Schizosaccharomyces pombe: one gene and its partners. The gene in region 1 interacts genetically with each later gene. Each region holds a gene or a part of one and is shown on either strand. Other genes may lie near its edges.

Evidence for each region.
Region 2: mutations in ppk9 (region 1) and aps1 together harm fitness more than expected from each alone (negative genetic interaction), as found in Schizosaccharomyces pombe (one large-scale study listed by BioGRID).
Region 3: mutations in ppk9 (region 1) and hat1 together harm fitness more than expected from each alone (negative genetic interaction), as found in Schizosaccharomyces pombe (one large-scale study listed by BioGRID).
Region 4: mutations in ppk9 (region 1) and set13 together harm fitness less than expected from each alone (positive genetic interaction), as found in Schizosaccharomyces pombe (one large-scale study listed by BioGRID).

Annotation. Positions count from the first base shown.
Region 1 is NC_003424.3:1,604,562-1,609,197, reverse strand, and holds ppk9 (serine/threonine protein kinase Ppk9), read left to right. Parts: upstream 1-2,048; 5' UTR 2,049-2,108; coding exon 2,109-2,223; intron 2,224-2,394; coding exon 2,395-3,878; 3' UTR 3,879-4,125; downstream 4,126-4,636. Other genes in the region: sterol transfer protein Osh3, read right to left, coding at 1-1,036; COPII-coated vesicle-associated protein Erv25, read right to left, coding at 4,340-4,636.
Region 2 is NC_003424.3:198,139-202,049, reverse strand, and holds aps1 (diadenosine 5',5'''-p1,p6-hexaphosphate hydrolase Aps1), read right to left. Parts: upstream 2,013-3,911; 5' UTR 1,816-2,012; coding exon 1,183-1,815; 3' UTR 533-1,182; downstream 1-532. Other genes in the region: SPOM_SPAC13G6.13 (uncharacterized protein), read right to left, coding at 2,819-3,166; chs1 (chitin synthase I), read left to right, coding at 3,335-3,911.
Region 3 is NC_003424.3:1,028,206-1,032,489, reverse strand, and holds hat1 (histone acetyltransferase Hat1), read right to left. Parts: upstream 2,271-4,284; 5' UTR 2,261-2,270; coding exon 2,203-2,260; exon of another isoform or gene 2,153-2,202; coding exon 2,049-2,152; exon of another isoform or gene 1,988-2,048; coding exon 1,769-1,987; intron 1,680-1,768; coding exon 1,564-1,679; intron 1,493-1,563; coding exon 1,129-1,492; intron 1,073-1,128; coding exon 797-1,072; 3' UTR 549-796; downstream 1-548. Other genes in the region: coronin Crn1, read right to left, coding at 1-131, 180-232, 275-308; ssd2 (succinate-semialdehyde dehydrogenase), read right to left, coding at 2,693-4,174. UniProt on the Schizosaccharomyces pombe protein: Catalytic component of the histone acetylase B (HAT-B) complex. Acetylates 'Lys-12' of histone H4 which is required for telomeric silencing. Has intrinsic substrate specificity that modifies lysine in recognition sequence GXGKXG.
Region 4 is NC_003424.3:3,139,392-3,143,705, forward strand, and holds set13 (ribosome L32 lysine methyltransferase Set13), read left to right. Parts: upstream 1-2,032; 5' UTR 2,033-2,071; coding exon 2,072-2,212; exon of another isoform or gene 2,213-2,260; coding exon 2,261-2,938; exon of another isoform or gene 2,939-3,004; coding exon 3,005-3,276; exon of another isoform or gene 3,277-3,327; coding exon 3,328-3,643; 3' UTR 3,644-3,792; downstream 3,793-4,314. Other genes in the region: scn3 (TatD DNase family Scn1), read left to right, coding at 333-1,340. UniProt on the Schizosaccharomyces pombe protein: S-adenosyl-L-methionine-dependent protein-lysine N-methyltransferase that monomethylates 60S ribosomal protein L42 (rpl42) at 'Lys-55'.

The DNA of each region.
Region 1 (4,636 bases):
CCAGTTCATGCAACAAAGACCCGAGTTGACGAGTAACCTTGCGTAAAGTAACCGCAGCTTGCGCGTTTTCAGCAGCAGTAATTTCCACTGAAGTACGGGTTTCCTTGTTTTCTTTGGCATCACCGGGAAGTTGTATACGGATCTCAGGGACAGAAAAATTATGACTTGAAGCCGATTTGATACGACTGGTGCGATACAATTGAGCAATATCCAGGCATTCACGTAGTCTTGAGTAAATAGAGACTAACTGATTGGATGACGATTCTTGTGTCCTTTCGTCTACTACGAGCTTTGAAGAAGTTTGACTATTTTTCGCCTTTTCCAAAGCATTGCACCAACGTAGCCAATCTTGGTGAGTATGTGCTCGTAGGTTCCACAGTTCTACGCCTGAATCAACGTTGATCTCATGCGTCTCTGCAGCAACGCTAATCACAGCAATGCTCAAGGGAATTTTACCGCGCATTACCGAAGAATTTTCGTTAGCATAGTATGAGATCGTGCCTTCCACCATGTTGAGAGTGAAGTAACGTCGAGCATAGCCTTGGCCCTTCTTTCGGCGCTTTTTAAGCAAGGTTCCAGAAATAATTTGTTTAGGAGAGCCATGGACTGATGCATTTGGTATTCTCGGACCGTTGTATGGTTGCGCGGTCAAGAGGAAGGTCACAGTTTTTGGTTTTGTTTTCGAAAAAGTGTTATCAAACACGAAGGCATAAAGTCCTCCATTCTCAATGTAGACAGAGCCCTCACTAGGCTTTTCCGACATACATCGCTCTCCTTGATAAAATAATTCTAACCCAGCAGCACTCAACTTCTTGATACCAGCTTCGTGAGTGTGTTGACGCTTTGTATGCAGGATGGAACGATCGGTGTTTTTGTTGGATCCATCTAGCAAGCTAGATGTGTCATTCTTTTTATGATATATATCAAACTTTATGCTTTTCCGTTTCACATGCAGTTGCCAACTCAGTAAGGAATTCGATTCCACCGTGAGCCATTGTATCAACAGACTCTTACTTCGTATCTCCACAGTTTCCATGTTGACTCATGGACTTCTACTGTGATAATTGCAAAACTTAGAAAGCCTATTTTTTTCAATTGATGACTGGAGAGGAATAAAATAATTGCCTAAACGTATGTGGTAAGAGATGGATTTTCGGTTTCGGGATTTTCGGGCGAATGACTCCAAGGTATTTTACCGATGCGGAACGTTCGGTTTTTTGGCGGCCACCTAATGTAATGTATACTTAAGTAGTAAACAAAGGGCTGGTAGCGGCAATAGGTATGCCAGTATGTAAACGGATACAAAGAAAATTTTGCACTTATCACTTTCCGTAGTGTGTACTTGGGATGCCTCGATCGGGCTATTTCAGATATGGCAAAATATACTTTACATTAAAAAATAGCTATACAAAAACATTCGCACGGTCTGTAATATGCGGTTTTATGTTTGTCTACTAGCATTGATGGCATCGTGCGAAATAATGCGGGTTTTTGGGATTAAACCGAAAATCAAATGTTTTCTGTAGTCAAAAAATCTAGCTGTTGTAATTTTTTATTTAATTGTCTTTGAGTATTTCTATTACTGCTTTTACTAATTTTATCATTATCACGGCTGTATTGTTGTAGCTTATTGTGCAAAAAATTTTGGCTAGAAGTTGGGACGGATCTAATGATGGAAGAGGGTAAATAGAGAGTTCCCATGTACTCATAAACTTTGAAAATTGGCATAATTTCCCATAACACAATACCAGCTCGATTTTCCATTTCATAACACAAAATTTACATACCTATGCATCTGATAACCCATAGACCGCGTACCTTAATTAAATAAAGTGCAGATTGGTTGCTCGTATCGAACGCTAGCGTTGTCTGCAATGTCGCCGTGGAGATGTTTACCAAAAGATAGCACGTTACGCCATATAATCTTATTACAAGGTTGCTTTGAATCACACTACTTTGCCTCGTGCACCTTTTTTATCGCTAACAAATTAGCATCAGATGCGCGGATCATGTTTAAGTCGGACGGTATGCAGCAACATGCACATGCTAACCACCTATATACACGAATAACGAATTTCATCCTATAAAGTCAGCTGGCTCGACTTGCTATGCAAACCCCTTCTTCTGCATCGGCAGAGTCTGAAAAGGATTCAGGAAACACCTATGTTGGGCCTTGGCTTTTGGGAAGGACTTTGGGACAAGGAAACTTGGCCAAAGTGAAATGTAAGTACATGAGGTGAAATTTAGTTGACTTTGTCTTGTAGGGGCTTGTTAATAAGATAGAGTAGACTACTTATAGACAGTAGAGATAGACTACTTAGGTGTCATGGTTATCTTGCGCATCGATCGTCTTTGATTTTGTTTTTGGCAATTGTACGATGGCTAACAGTGTAGTGGGCAAGCATTTTCAAACAAATGAAAAGGTCGCATTGAAAATGGTTTACAATGATGAATTGGAAGATAAAGATACGTGGAAGCGTTTACAAAGAGAAGTGACAATCTTAAGGCAATTGCACCATCCAAACATTATCACCCTATACCAGGTGTTTCGGGTTCCCAAGTACACAGTGCTCGCACTAGAGTATATGGATACTGATTTGCACAGTATGGTGGTTAAGCATAATCGACTGGATGAATGTACCACTCGCAAGATTTTTCGACAAATTGTCCATGCCATCGATTATTGTCATCTTCATCGTGTTGCTCACCGAGATTTGAAGTTGGAAAACATTTTACTTAATAAAGATCTGGTTGTCAAGCTCACGGATTTTGGCCTTTCCAATTTTATGCTTGATGGTTCCTTTCTGAGTACCTCTTGCGGTACTCCCCATTATGCTGCTCCTGAGGTTATTCAAGGCCGTTATTATGATGGTTGTGATGTAGATGTATGGGGTTGCGGAATCTTATTGTATTTGATGCTCGTCGGCGAGTTTCCCTTTGAGGATGTAACCATCTCCAATGTATTAAGTCGCGTTTGTAAAGGAATCTACACCATTCCTAGTTTTGTATCTTCTTCAGCCTCAGATCTCATTCGTCAAATGTTAATGGTGCTTCCTACTTCACGAATCAAAGTTGCAGAAATAATGCAACATCCTTGGTTTATCGCTGATCTTCCCACGCATTCCCGTTTACCTTCCCGTACTTCATCCTTTTCTTCCAAGCATCGATCTGTCACCTTTTCTCCTCCAGATCTTGCTATTCTTTTCGACCCTTCCATAACTTCGCCTTCCAGTAGTGTAGGTCAAATTCCTCAGCCCACAGATCACTCAGCCCTATCCCCGTCAAAACCAATGTCCATTTCAGGTACTGAATCTCCTAATCCAGATCCCGCATCTTTATGTTATTCGTCGTATGAGGACTTGTATTCGGCTACTTCGTGGCATTCTGACATGGCAGAATCATCCGGATTTTTAGATCCTACTGATATTCCACCAATTCCTTCTAACGTTGAAACTTTACGCTCTTCTCTTCCACAGAGACATGCTTCATTCATGAATAAGGTCTACAACCATCCATTATCCCGACCTCCCGCCCCCAACCGACTTCGTTCTTTACGCTGGCATTATGGGATTCAAACTGCCAAAAATCCAATTGAAGTATTGAGAAAGCTATGTGAGGCTTTACTTGAGTTAGGAGCTCGGTTTCGGCCCTGTGATGAGGAATCTTTTCTAAAGGAAAATAAGTATAAAGTGTTTTCATGCATTACATGTCATAATTCTCCTGTTTATCTGGTTATTGAATTATTCTCTATTGGACCATCTGCTAGCGTGATTGATATCCGCTTTTCTAGTAGTGATGATTCTATAAAGTACACTTCATCTTACAGTCCAATGCCATTTTTAGAAGTTGTCAAACAATTGATCCTTAAAATTGCATAAGGTCAGTCGCGTAACTCAACCTAATTCCCTTTTTTATCCTTTTTTTTTCTTTTACGATTTTTTTTGTTGTAAAGCTTTTGTTTTCAATATTGTTTGCATTTACTAATATTGTGAAACTAAGTTGAATTTTGATATTTTTGTTACGACTTTCTCATTTAGTTTCAATTAGAATTCACAGTTGTTACATTTCCCTTTTGTTTTTTGAATTTGTTAGTTATTTCACAAACAATGAAGATAAACAGTTGTAATATTACAACAGAATTATGCTAATGTAATTTACTACAATCTTTTATTTTTATTCATGAAGTTAAAGAGTGAAGTAGTGTATATGCATTAAATGTGAATGTTTGTCCATACTCACAGTAATTCCTAGTACGGAATATAAAAGCAACCAATTAATTTTTGGAAATTGTGGAAGTGCCAAGTATGCCGTATACGTATATTTATTGTTCATGTGAAATTTAAGGGATAAGATGCTTCCTTTGGAAAAATGAACGTAAATAGAGGATTTGCCATATAACAAGAACAAATAATGAGATAAAAGTAAGATATGCAAAATTCTTGACACGCTCATTAGTACTTTCATTAGTGTTTCTGAATCTAGCTTCGCGAGCTTGCAAATAGTAAATTTTTCCTTTGATTTCTTCAATGAAGTCTCTTGCACGACGGATATCAGCTTCTACAGGTTCCAAGTTGTTTGCTTTTTGCAATGAAGAATAATCATCGGCGTCAGCGCCTACAGTAAACTCAAGTTTGAC
Region 2 (3,911 bases), 1.4 Mb from region 1:
TTAGATCCAGAAACTTATGCTGGGATCTAACAGGATTAACGACAATTGTTAGAATGTGAGACAGTGCTATTTAGTTCATTTTTAAAAGAATTGGCTATGACCGTCAAAGTTCTGAAAATAAAAATATATATATGTATTTTCTTCTTGTTTCTTTTTCTAAAAATTTTTTATTCTGATAGCTGAAGCTTTACTAACATAACTGCTAAATCCTACGTTTTTAATTTTGCAGTTTGTTTGGATTTTTAGGTGTGGTTATAAATTGCTTTTATGTACATTTTCACGTTGAACAACGTCAATCAAATATATTAAGTAATTCTCAAATTCTTATATAAGCATTTTGTACGAATATTTATACTAACGGATTGATGTTTGCTATAGTTCGTCGTTTCGCTATCTATTTACTACTAATTGAAAAGTATTTTTTAAAATTATCGCACGTAAGTGTAATGAGCGTCAATGGATTCACTATAATTCATAGCTATATGATTGCTGAAAGCCAATATAAAATTACACGACATATTCAAATTGACACACGAAACTTCTTGGGCTCATTAGTATCTAACAACGAATACGTTTTACCGTATGGAACAATTTTGTTTTTATTAACGTCACTAATCAAAATTGGTTGCAAACAATTAATATGCTAGCAACTAATGTGCTTTTTATGCATAGCACACAACGATAACGATTAACTCGCACCCTAGCATCAAACAGGTGGGATTAGATGATTTTTTAAGGAATGAAACTTTGTTTTAAAAAATTTGAATTATCATGCGATTCAATTGAAAATATATTTATAAATAGAATTAGTATGTTATGCAGACAATGATCTTAATCGAAAATATACAAAGAGAGTAAAAACTTTTAAAAAAGGAAAGAAAAAATAGCAGTTGAACTGCTGGAATATATGCTGTACCGCTGAAATCCTTTAAAGGATATATGTTTCATGAAATGAGCTTTATGTCGAAAACTCAATTTGACCCAGCTTGCTGAAAAAAAAAATAAGAATCAAGATTTGCAAACTTCAAGCCTTTTTAACACACTTGACATGGTAACTAATAGATATAACAATTTCGTAATCCCATGGAAAAAGATAAATATTGAAGCAAGAAATCAAAAAAAATGGTAAATTAAAATATTTGAATAAAAGGTTGCAAATGGTAAACATTATGCATCTGTACTTCAGTTTTCCTCTTTAATGATAGAGCTCTTCTCAAGAGCTGCCAAAATATCTTTACGACTTGTCAACGCTTCCTTTGCTTCTTGATAAGACATCCATTTTCGGCGACGCTTCCTCATCTCTGGGTAATTGTCTTCTAATCTTTCAACAATAACTTCAAAAAATTCACATTCGGCTCTAGGTGGAAGTAATAATTTCTCTGCTTCGGCTCCTAACTCGGTATTGGTTGAGACGTCATTTCCGCTACTTTTTGACATTAATTGCTTCAAATATTTTTTCCTTCTGTCAATAGTATCAGTAGGACGCTTATCCTTGAAAGACCCAAGGGATCTAGTGATATGACCCACTAGTCCGCCTTCTTCCCAACCTTCACGAAGGGCAGCTTGCTGAACAGATTCATCAGCCTCCCATCCACCCTTAGGAACTACCCAAGAAGGATGTTTTTTAGCAGAAGAAACTAATAGGACTTTCCTTTTGTCTGCAGATAAAGCAACAACACCCGCAGCAAGTCTGGCTCCTGTAATAGGATTGAATCGATTTTTCGTTCGACCTTCACGAGAAGTCATTGAGCGGTTCACTGCCGTCCGTAGATGATCCGGCTCCATTAAAATCACACTTCCGTTATTTTCAAGCATATGAACTATAAAGTACTCTTCTTTTCGACAAGTTGAATGGATTTGGTATAATTTCTTGCCTTATGGTAGAGTAAGGAAACGATGTCTGAAAAGGCAAAAGCAAGATGTTCAAAAGAATCTGAGTTCTTTTTGAACAAGGAAGAGATATAAATCTCCTATTCCGATGAATATAAATCGATCGCGAAAAGTGGTTTTCCGAAGGTTTCTCCCAGTGATTTAGGTTGGGATAACGAAATAGTGAAGTACAAACCGACACGCTAAACAGTTGTCGGAGACCAAATAATTTGCGGTGATATTTAAAATGAGAGATTGTATTAGAAAATAGGTAATTTATAATTTTTCAAAATAAATAGCTTGCGAGGAAAATACATTTTCATTTTGTATGCAGTAATCTCCAATTTGCGAAGTTGTTTGTATTCGTAGATTTCGCATCGAAAAATACCCACATTATCAATTCTTTGGACAAAATGAGGCTTTTTAAAAGGAGTACGCTTGTAGAAAATCTGTAAGTCTTAATCTTTTAATACACGGTTTTCGAAGTTTTGCATTGTATTTACTGTTCTGTTGTTCTATCTGATCATTGCTGATTCCTTCACTAACTCTTGATAAGTTGGGCTTTTTGAATCTGATAATATTGATAGTAAGAGAATCAATTAACACTAACCAATTGTTGATGCATTTTAATGTCGAGGAAAATAAAATAAAATAATTTAACAAAAAAAAGATTGGATAATTTAAATTCCCAATATCTGTTTTATTTAAAACAATTATTATAGCGAAAAAAAATGTTTATTATATAAAAAACAATAATTTATACAATTCAACTACTTCTATTACGTTTGGAATAAAAAGAAAATCGTTTAAAATAATAATATATCTAAATAAAATGAGTAATGTTGGAAGAAAATTGGCTTTTCGTTTGCTTTGTTATATACCTTAGCAAGCCATTGTATAAATTGTTATTTTTTAATTTTTTTTATATGAATAAATAATGAGATATGATTTACTTTTTAAGCTTTTGATAAAATTTGTTCATAACATAAACTTTGGTATGTGTATTCCTTCTTATAATTACAGTTGTATTTAGTTTTAACAATACGGAACAAATAATTATTTTTATGTATTTAGATTTGTCATACAATATAGCGAGTAAATGCCATTCTTCAATCATAAAAAAAGTACACTTTAGTTTGTTGCAATCTTCCACCACCTCATCACTTTTTTTTCTTTTGTAAACATTAATCTTCTTACTCTCTTTGTATTTAAATATTAAAAGAGTATAACAATTCCTTCTTTTATAATATTTTATTTTCATATCGTTGGCTTCTACAATCATTGGCAATTGAAACATTGTTGACAAGCATTCAGGGTTAAACAAACCATTGTTTCAATCATTACAACTGTAATTGTCTCCCCAAAATTGATTCTCACTATCATAAACTTGGATGCTGCTTTACAGAAAAAATCTAAGCGTATATTTGATAGAGCGATTTGAGGCTCGTTTCTACGGCTCTTGAAGATGAGAAGGTGGTTCAAAAAAACGCTACCACGCCCTCCTGATGAGGAGGAATCAGCTGGATTAACAAATAAAGATATTGTTGAAACCAATCACTTATATCCTACAATCACCAATTTGTCATTAAACAGTGATACTTCGTCCATTTTATTTGATAAAAATAAAAAACCTCTAAAACCGAAAATCATTATTCCTGATAAAGAATTTGATCTCGATTATTATTTAAAAGATGAAACGGAAAGTATTCAATCTCCATTTGAAGGTTTTACTGCTCAACCAAATTTTTCAAACTTCAATAAGCAAGGAAATACTATGAACCGAGAGGCAAATTTCCAAAGAACAAATGAAAAAATTCAAAGAAATAAAAGTATTAAACGAGTTAAATTATTTCATGGCAATCTCATCCTCGATTGTCCAATTCCTAAGAAGTTATTGGTTACACTTCCACAGCAAACAGAGCGAGAATTTGCTTACATGCGCTACAGTGCTGCTACATGTGATCCACAAGACTTTTCGAAAAGCCTATTCACTTTAAGGCAGCCCCTATTCTTTCAGCCGAGAAAAACTGAAATTTGTATTG
Region 3 (4,284 bases), 580 kb from region 1:
TGATCGGGAAGCTTTCCTCTTTCGTTTAAAGGGATAACTGCCAATGCACCTCCAGCTCCCGCATTCCAATTAACACTGAGGTAAAAGGGGTTCACACTCAATAGGTTAGAATCCCATGCATTATTGCTAAGCTATTGAAGACAATTAGTAAATTTCAAACCATTAAAGTATCGACCAACCTTTATGTTGTCGTAGCAAAGTTCTTTTTTGCAGGTTTGTCCAAAGATATGTCCTAACGTCAGTTAATAATTATTTACTCAAAAAGCATGCGTACTATATTTACTAGCTCTCACAAATCTTCCACTCATTTTTGAAAAAGAATAATTCCTTTATAAGATCGAATGAGAATTTGCTAATTGAGCTAACTTTATCCGGGGTGTCAGGTAATGAACAAAGTCGGGATCGGAATAGGAAGGAGGACGGATGAGAATGACAAGCACCTAAAGTTGTACTGGTCGTTGAAAATAACCAATATTATTGATAGTAGATATTAAAATATTTAAATTTTGGAAAAAGCAGTTCATTATGAGGAATTGTTTGAATTTTTATAAGGTGCCTTTATAGATTTTATTAAACTAGATATCACACTAAATTTGCAAAATATATACAAAATTTATATTATTAAAATGATCACTGTTTCAAATGTCTTTAATCATTTCAAGCGAAAGCTTTCAAAAGCAAATTATATAAAAAGTAATTGCGTCCAATAGTGTAATTTAGTCGATTCTCATAACTTTTTATGCTAATATGCCTTCAATATTCTCAAAGTATTTCAGATCTCTAAAAGTGTTTTCATTTAGGAAGAAGATTGAGCAAGTTTTTGGCGTTTTCGAGGCGAATCTTCCTTAAGCTTGGGTAGCTTTTTGACAATCTGTTTATACTCATCAAACTGATTTTCATAGGCGTTATGAATTTTTTCAATACGTTCGGACTTATCCAACTGTAGCAACACATCAAGATTTTGACGAAAAATCCTTTCCTTTATTCCTAGTCTAACAGATTTCCGCTCCAATAATGAAAGCTTTTTTAGTTTCGTTGTAAATGCTAATTCACAACAGCGTGAGAATTGACGCTAAAAAAAGACAATTAGTAAGTTGCATTGCATGGTAAATTTAGCAAATTACGAACCTGGGTTAACTTTGTTTCAGCTATTTTCGAGTTTATCCACTGCCTAGAAAGAGAGGGATGAAAGTCAGGTTCTGAAAATATTCCCATTGATAATAATCTTTTATAGTCGCAATGGTCTCTAAGGCTATCAAACGCTTCCGATGCATCCTCAACTGTGAAGTCTAAAATTTTAGGATTTTTCAAAAAGGTACTAACAATAGCATTGTACAATTGCGAACCGTGTCCTTGATGTTGAAAAGGGGGTAAAATCACGAATTGTGAGATACGAGCTCGAATACCATCGTGAATTAATTTGTCCCATTTATAATATTTGTATACAGTACAATAACCACGTAAGCAATAATCATCTTCAGTAGTCTCGTAACTTATTTTTGTTAATAAAACCTCGATAAAAAGGTAAAAGGAAAGTAGACGCGTAGAAAATAACAAACTTACAGTAAATATACCATCCATCTTGGATCATTAAGGTCAATAAAAGAGCCCCCTTCAATAAAAAATAAGGAAAATATTTGCAAATGCTGCATAATCTCACTAGCTTCAAGAACCGTTGCCTATTAATACATTACGATTATTAGCCAAAGAACATATAGGGATATTCAATAATTGAATACTTCTCCAATTGAAAGGTAATCGAACATACTTGTAAAATCTTGAATGTTTTTCCATTAAAGGAATAGTTATGAATACTATTTGCCGAATGAACGTCAAATGAGTTTCCTTCAACCTTAATGGAACGATCTTTTAGATAAGTGTTTAATGTTCCTTCAATATCAGTTGGTTCCACTCCTGAATCTGGTGCTAGGCGCTCTGAATATGAGATTTCCAGTTTTGGGACCATCAATGGGCATTCATAGGTTATCTAATAACTGTTACTATTTGCAATCAAATTTCATGACTAAAACTTGCTGATTTAATCTTACAGTGACATTTAGATCTTTATATCCATAAATAACCTCAGCATCTCCAAATATTGCATATGTATTGCTAGGATGGTATTGACAATCTTTTTCATGCTTTTCGTTTACTGACAGGTGTTAACACAAGGTAAAAACATTATAATTTAACATAGCATACCTTGTACAATTTCTATGCATTCATTGGCATTATGTACCCATTCATCAACAGCACTCATCACTGCATACGGAAAATTGAATACCTGACCCTATTTCAAGTCAAACAACAAAAAATACATGTGTCTAGTTGGAAGTAACAAACTACAAGGCGACGCAAAATTTCACGTGCTACACCTGTTATTATTAAAAAATATTTACTATTATATAGATTTCTAGCTCCAGTATTGCCAATTTTAGAACCTACAATTCTTTATAACTTTTCAGATTGCTCAGAACAATAACTACAAGTATAGATTTTCTGACACAACAATCCATTCTTCATCGATGACCCACGATGTTCAGGTATTAAATTTTTTTGATATCATTAAACTAAAATACGATTTGTATCGCAAACATGTAAAACAGTCATAACATCAGGATTTTTTAGTCATTAACCAAAAGAGGACATCATTGCTTGTTCAATAATATGCAGCTTTCTAAAGCGAAAATCCTTAAAGAGTCTTGAGATTGATTTCCTTAACCACCATAAATTCTTGAACGCCCAAACGACCGGCTTCCTTGCCAAAACCGCTCTGTTTGATGCCGCCAAAGGAAATAAATGGTTCGTCAACCATTTCGATATTGGCACCTACAAGACCCACCTCTAGTTCTTTGGCAACGTGGATCATTGTGGACAAGTTATTGGTAAAGACGTAACCGGCCAAGCCAACATCACTGTCGTTAGCCCATTCGATCACCTCTTCGGTGTCGTCGAACTTGAAGACAGAGGCGAGTGGGCCGAATGTTTCCTCGCTAGCAACCAACATGTCTTGAGTTACACCGGAGAGCACGGTTGGTTCAAAAAAATAACCTTTGCTTGAGGAAATCTCCTTTCCACCAACAGTGATTTTGGCACCCTTTGAAACAGCATCTTCAATGTGCTTGCTGACCTTTTTGCATCCATCTTGAGAAATCAAAGGGCCAACAGCAGAAGAAGAGTCAAATCCATCTCCTACTTTAATGGTCTTGACTTTTTCGGTAAGCTTGCTGACGAATTCGTCGTAAACATTCTTGTGAACGTAAACTCTGTTAGGGCAGACACAAACTTGACCACAAGAGTTAAACTTGATAGTGCAGAAAGATTCGACAGCCTGATCAATGGGGAAGTCAGGGAATACAATGAAAGGGGCATTACCTCCTAACTCCATTGAAACCTTCTTGATTGTGCTGGCACTTTGTCCCATAAGAATTTTACCGACATTAGTACTACCAGTGAAGGAAACCTTACGAACGATAGGGTTGGTAGTCAGTTCTTTACCATGAGCAGATGCATCAGAAGAAGTGATCACATTTAAGACACCGTCAGGGAAACCGGCCTCTTGCGCCAACCTGACTAAACCTAAGCAAACGTAGGGAGTGCGGAAAGCAGGCAAGAAAATAGCGGTACAACCAGCAGCCAAAGCGGCACCACCTTTACGAGCAATCATGGCGGCGGGGAAGTTCCAAGGAGTAATCAAGGCACTGACACCAACTGGCTGTTTGATGGAGATGAGAAAGTTTTGACTTTGTAAGCTGGAAGGAGCTACATCGCCAAAGGTACGAACGGCTTCAGCAGCATACCATTTAAGATATCCGCTACATGTGGTGACCTCCATCTCAGCTTGGCTCAAAGGCTTGCCGTTTTCTAAGGTAAGCATCTTGACCAAGTCGTCTTTGTTCTCCATAATAAGCTCTGCCCAGCGTTCCAATAACTGACTACGTTGGACATGAGTAAAATTTTTATAAGTTTTGAAGGCCTCGTTAGCGGCACTGATGGCTTTTTTTGTTTCCTCTACTGAGACATCGGCCACTTTACCGATTATTTCACCAGTAGCTGGGTTATCAACCTCAAAAGTTTTGTTGTTAGGAGAAGAAATCCATTTTCCTTGAACAAAAGATTGAGCATGAGACTTATCAAAGCCAAAGAGCTCAGGGCGTTTGAATTGAGGGGCCATTTTTGAAGAGTATTATACAAAAAAGTGGGAAGGAGTAAATGTTAAAAACTATATGAAACGAAGTTATCGATAGAAATGTTATTATTATTTATAATAATAACAAATAATAG
Region 4 (4,314 bases), 1.5 Mb from region 1:
TGTATTTTATCGTATGTTCTCAAATTACCTAGACGCTAACACTAATAAATAAATTTGAAAATATTATTGGTAAGGTGGTCACATGGAGGAACTAGTCAACGAAATAGGTATCTGCCCTTGAGCTTGCAGTAGACTAATTAAATTGAAGACGACTGTAATATTCAAGTTTTATCTTTATGTCATCAAGTAATTACCAAACAATGGGGAAACGAATGAAGTTGTTGAATTTCATTAGCATACACATGTTTTCGTCAACTCCAACGTTACTCTCCCTATCCCAACTATTTAAAGTACGGTGGGCAGAGAGCATTCTGTTAACTACAAATATCATTATGGAATCTATCATTGACGCTCATTGCCATCCAACTGATGCACCGCAAGAATTACATTTGGTTGCTAATCTTTCTGTTGGTAAATTAATAGTAATGGGAACCCGGCCGACAGATCAAAAGTATGTCGAACAACTTGCGAAAGAATACCCTGGTAAAGTAATACCTAGTTTTGGGATACATCCATGGTTTTCTTATTATTTGTACGATGATTTGGATAAAGATTTGCAAAGTAGTGAAACGAGAAAAAAGAAGCATTACGAAAAAATATTGACTCCAATACCTGATGAAGATTTTATCAATGCTCTTCCCAACCCAGTCCCGATTTCAGAATTTTTGGAGGACGCTCGTCGACATCTTAAACAGTACCCAAACGCTCTCATTGGCGAAATCGGCTTGGATAAGCCATTTCGATTGCCAGTTGGCCCATATGATGCAAGGTCCTCACTTCCTCAAGGACCTCTATCACCATTTTACGTAAAAATGGAACATCAATGTAAAGTGTTTGAAGCACAAGTGCGTCTTGCTGCAGAATTCCAACGTGCTGTTAGTGTTCACTGCGTTCAGACGTATGCTCTTTTGTATAGCAGTTTAGCTAAATTTTGGGATGGTCGCTGGATTCCTTCCAAAACGAAAATACGAAAGATGAAGAAAGAAGAGTACGAAAATTCTCTTGCTGAAGAACGAAAGCATTACCCTCCCAAAATTTGCCTTCATAGCTACTCTGGTAGCATTGAGCAAATTTCTCAGTTTTCAGCCCATAAAGTTCCGACCGAGTTTTACTACTCTTTTTCAATAGGTATAAATAGTCGTTATAAAAATTTTATTCAAACACTTAAAGGCGTTCCCGACGATAAGCTATTGGCAGAGAGTGATCATCACAGTGCTAGCCAAATCGATGAATTAGTTCGACAATCTTTGAACGTTATGTCAGAAGCTAAGTCCTGGACTTTTGAGGATACTATTACAAAAATTTCAAGTAACTCTAAAGCATTTTTGAAAGTAACTTGAACGCATGCACTACGGTTTATTGACAAATTAGAGTTACCTGCACAATCACCTTAAATAAGTGCATAAGAGATTACTGGCTATTCCCATTGGAATTGGTAACCTTTAGGTTCGTTTTTTATCTGTTTCGTTTACTAAATCCCGAAACTTGACTGAACTAGTGTGGAAATGCTTGCGTTTGCATACAACTTTATTTATAATGTCCTTTTTCATGAACTTTTTTCTTATATTGTCCACCTAATGTCTCTATCTTAAAAATTTCTAACACTTTGCTGAACATGTTTAGCAAAATTCTTTTGTTTATTTATTACTTAGGATAAAATATTTTTTAAAAAAATTTTTGTGATTCCCGTTACTAAAGTATTCTACTAAAACCATCTTGAATTTCCACTTTTTATGAAAGGAATATGCACGTACAGCAAATTCTTAGACTTTTTTGCTCTTTTAGTGATCGTAAGCCAAGCATTAACTGATGTATCTTAGCCATTCAAATTCGTAATACTAAGCTACTTTTTTTTCCAATTCTTGGTATGCCTATTTCACAAATTGAAATTTATACATCAGTTACACTTATAAATCTTTTAACATTGATTAAGAACCCAATTGAATACTACTATCTGAATTAACGACAACTCGGTCATTTCAGGCTATTCAAAAAGGAGGTTAGGGGCAGACCTAAGGAATTTGTTTCTTCTGTGTACAAAAGTGTTAGTGACCAACATAGAGGGGCAGTGATGTTGAAGCAAGCGGAATCTATGTTAAAATGGGCAATCGAAAAGGATAATTATACTACTTCTGAAAAAATTGGACTCAACGATTACCGTCACGTACATGAGTCACTGGGGATTGGATTCATCGCCTTAGAGGACATTAAGGTAAGCAATCCAAAACTGACAGTATATGAAATCTAACAATACTTGAAGGAAGATGAAAAATTAGTCAGTTTCAAGAAGGATAGTGTTTTGTGCTTGACAAATTCGGACTTGGCACAACTTCCCGAAGTTCAAAGTTTACCCAGTTGGGCTGCCCTTTTGTTAGTAATGGCAACTGAAAATGCAAGTCCTAACTCGTTTTGGAGACCTTACTTGTCGATCTTCCCAACCAAAGAAAGAATTACTTCACCCTTTTACTGGGATGAAAACAAAAAAGATGCCCTTCTGAGAGGTACCGTATTAGAATCCAATGAGGATTGTAATGAAATTACACAATTATGGATCGACAGAATTGAACCCATAATTAAGTTATACCCAAATCGGTTTTCACAAGTGAGCTATGAGGACTTCTTGCGAATGAGTGCTGTAATGCTTGCATATAGCTTCGACATTGAAAAAACGAAATCGCCAATTTCGAATGAAAATGAAAAGTCTGCTGCTGAAACTTCGATAAAGGAGGACAAAAATGGAGATGCTGCTAAGAAGAATGAAGGTTCGGCTAATCAAGATGACGAAAAATTGCATTCACAAAGTCTTGTGGGTAACAACTGTGAAGTAAATTCAGAAGACGAATTTTCTGATCTCGAATCTGAGGTCGACCCTGATGAACTTGAAAAGGCAATGTGTCCTATATCTGATATGTTTAATGGTGACGATGAACTTTGTAACGTAAGAACTTTCGAACCTCAATGAGTTATTAATTGAAGCCAAAGATGTATACTAACTATGCTTTAGATTCGTCTCTACGATATCAATGGAACACTTACGATGATTGCTACTCGGGATATCAAAAAAGGAGAGCAATTGTGGAATACTTATGGGGAATTAGATAATTCAGAGTTATTTAGGAAATATGGATTTACTAAGAAGAAAGGTACTCCACATGACTTTGTTTTGATTAAAAAAGAGCACTGGCTTCCTGAGTACATTGAAAAGCTTGGATTTGAAGAAGTAGAAGCACGTCTTGAATTATTATGTCGTGAAGAGTTACTTTACAATTTGGAGGGGTAAGTTATGATCAATTCAATGATGAGCTTTTTATACCTAACGTTTTCTAGTGATTTTACATTTTCAAAAGCGGATTTGACGTTCAAAGAAATTTGTTTGGCCTTTGTGTTGATGGAAAAAGAAAAGGAATTAATATCTGTTCCTTCGAAATCAGACATAAAACCAAAGCATTATAGAAAACTACTCAAGATTATTGAAAAGCGGATAAATATGTATCCGAAGATTTCAGATCCAAAGAATTTTGATGAGGAAAATGCAAAGACATTAATTGAAGGGGAAATTGATATACTTCAAAATCTCTCTGCGAAAGTCAAAGAAGCCCTGACAAAAAATCGACCCAAGAAAAAGCAAAAGGTTGATCACTGAAAAGGAAAGCTGTGATATTGATAATTTTTTTTGCTACGAATTAAGTTCTTTATTACGGAAAAATAAATAAGATTATAGAGGTAAAATTATGGATGTATAGAATTTTGGGGACTTGCTACTCATAAATAATAAAAATTTTTGACTTGTGTATTGTTGTAGGCAATTAAAATAAGGCAGTACGTTTTATTAATTAATTTTTAAAATATAAACTATTGACTAAAAAAAATATGTTTTAAGTATTTGAGCATTAAAAAAAAATCCAAAAAATTAATCGCCAAGGTATATATCACTTACTTTATATTAGACAACATATTTAGAGAATGAAAATTAAGGCATACTAATTTTTTTTTATACTTTTTTTTTTATTTCCTAGTAATATTATTGTTTTTTTGGTTTAGTATTTCGTTATGTGAATAGTAAACTTGACTATTCAGTAATACTATAAAAATAACAAATACTGATATTGTAAAATCTCACATTCTATTTATTATTAGTAACCCAACAGATTTGCACACATATGAAAAAGTAATTATTCAAAACACTAATTTACCAAGTTGAATCAACTTCTAATGTTTTGAAACGGATTTGCTTGAGGAATATGTGAGATTGTCAATGAATGTAAGTGTCAAATTACTCAATTGTCTATTTGGTTAAGTTAGTACTGCTATGTT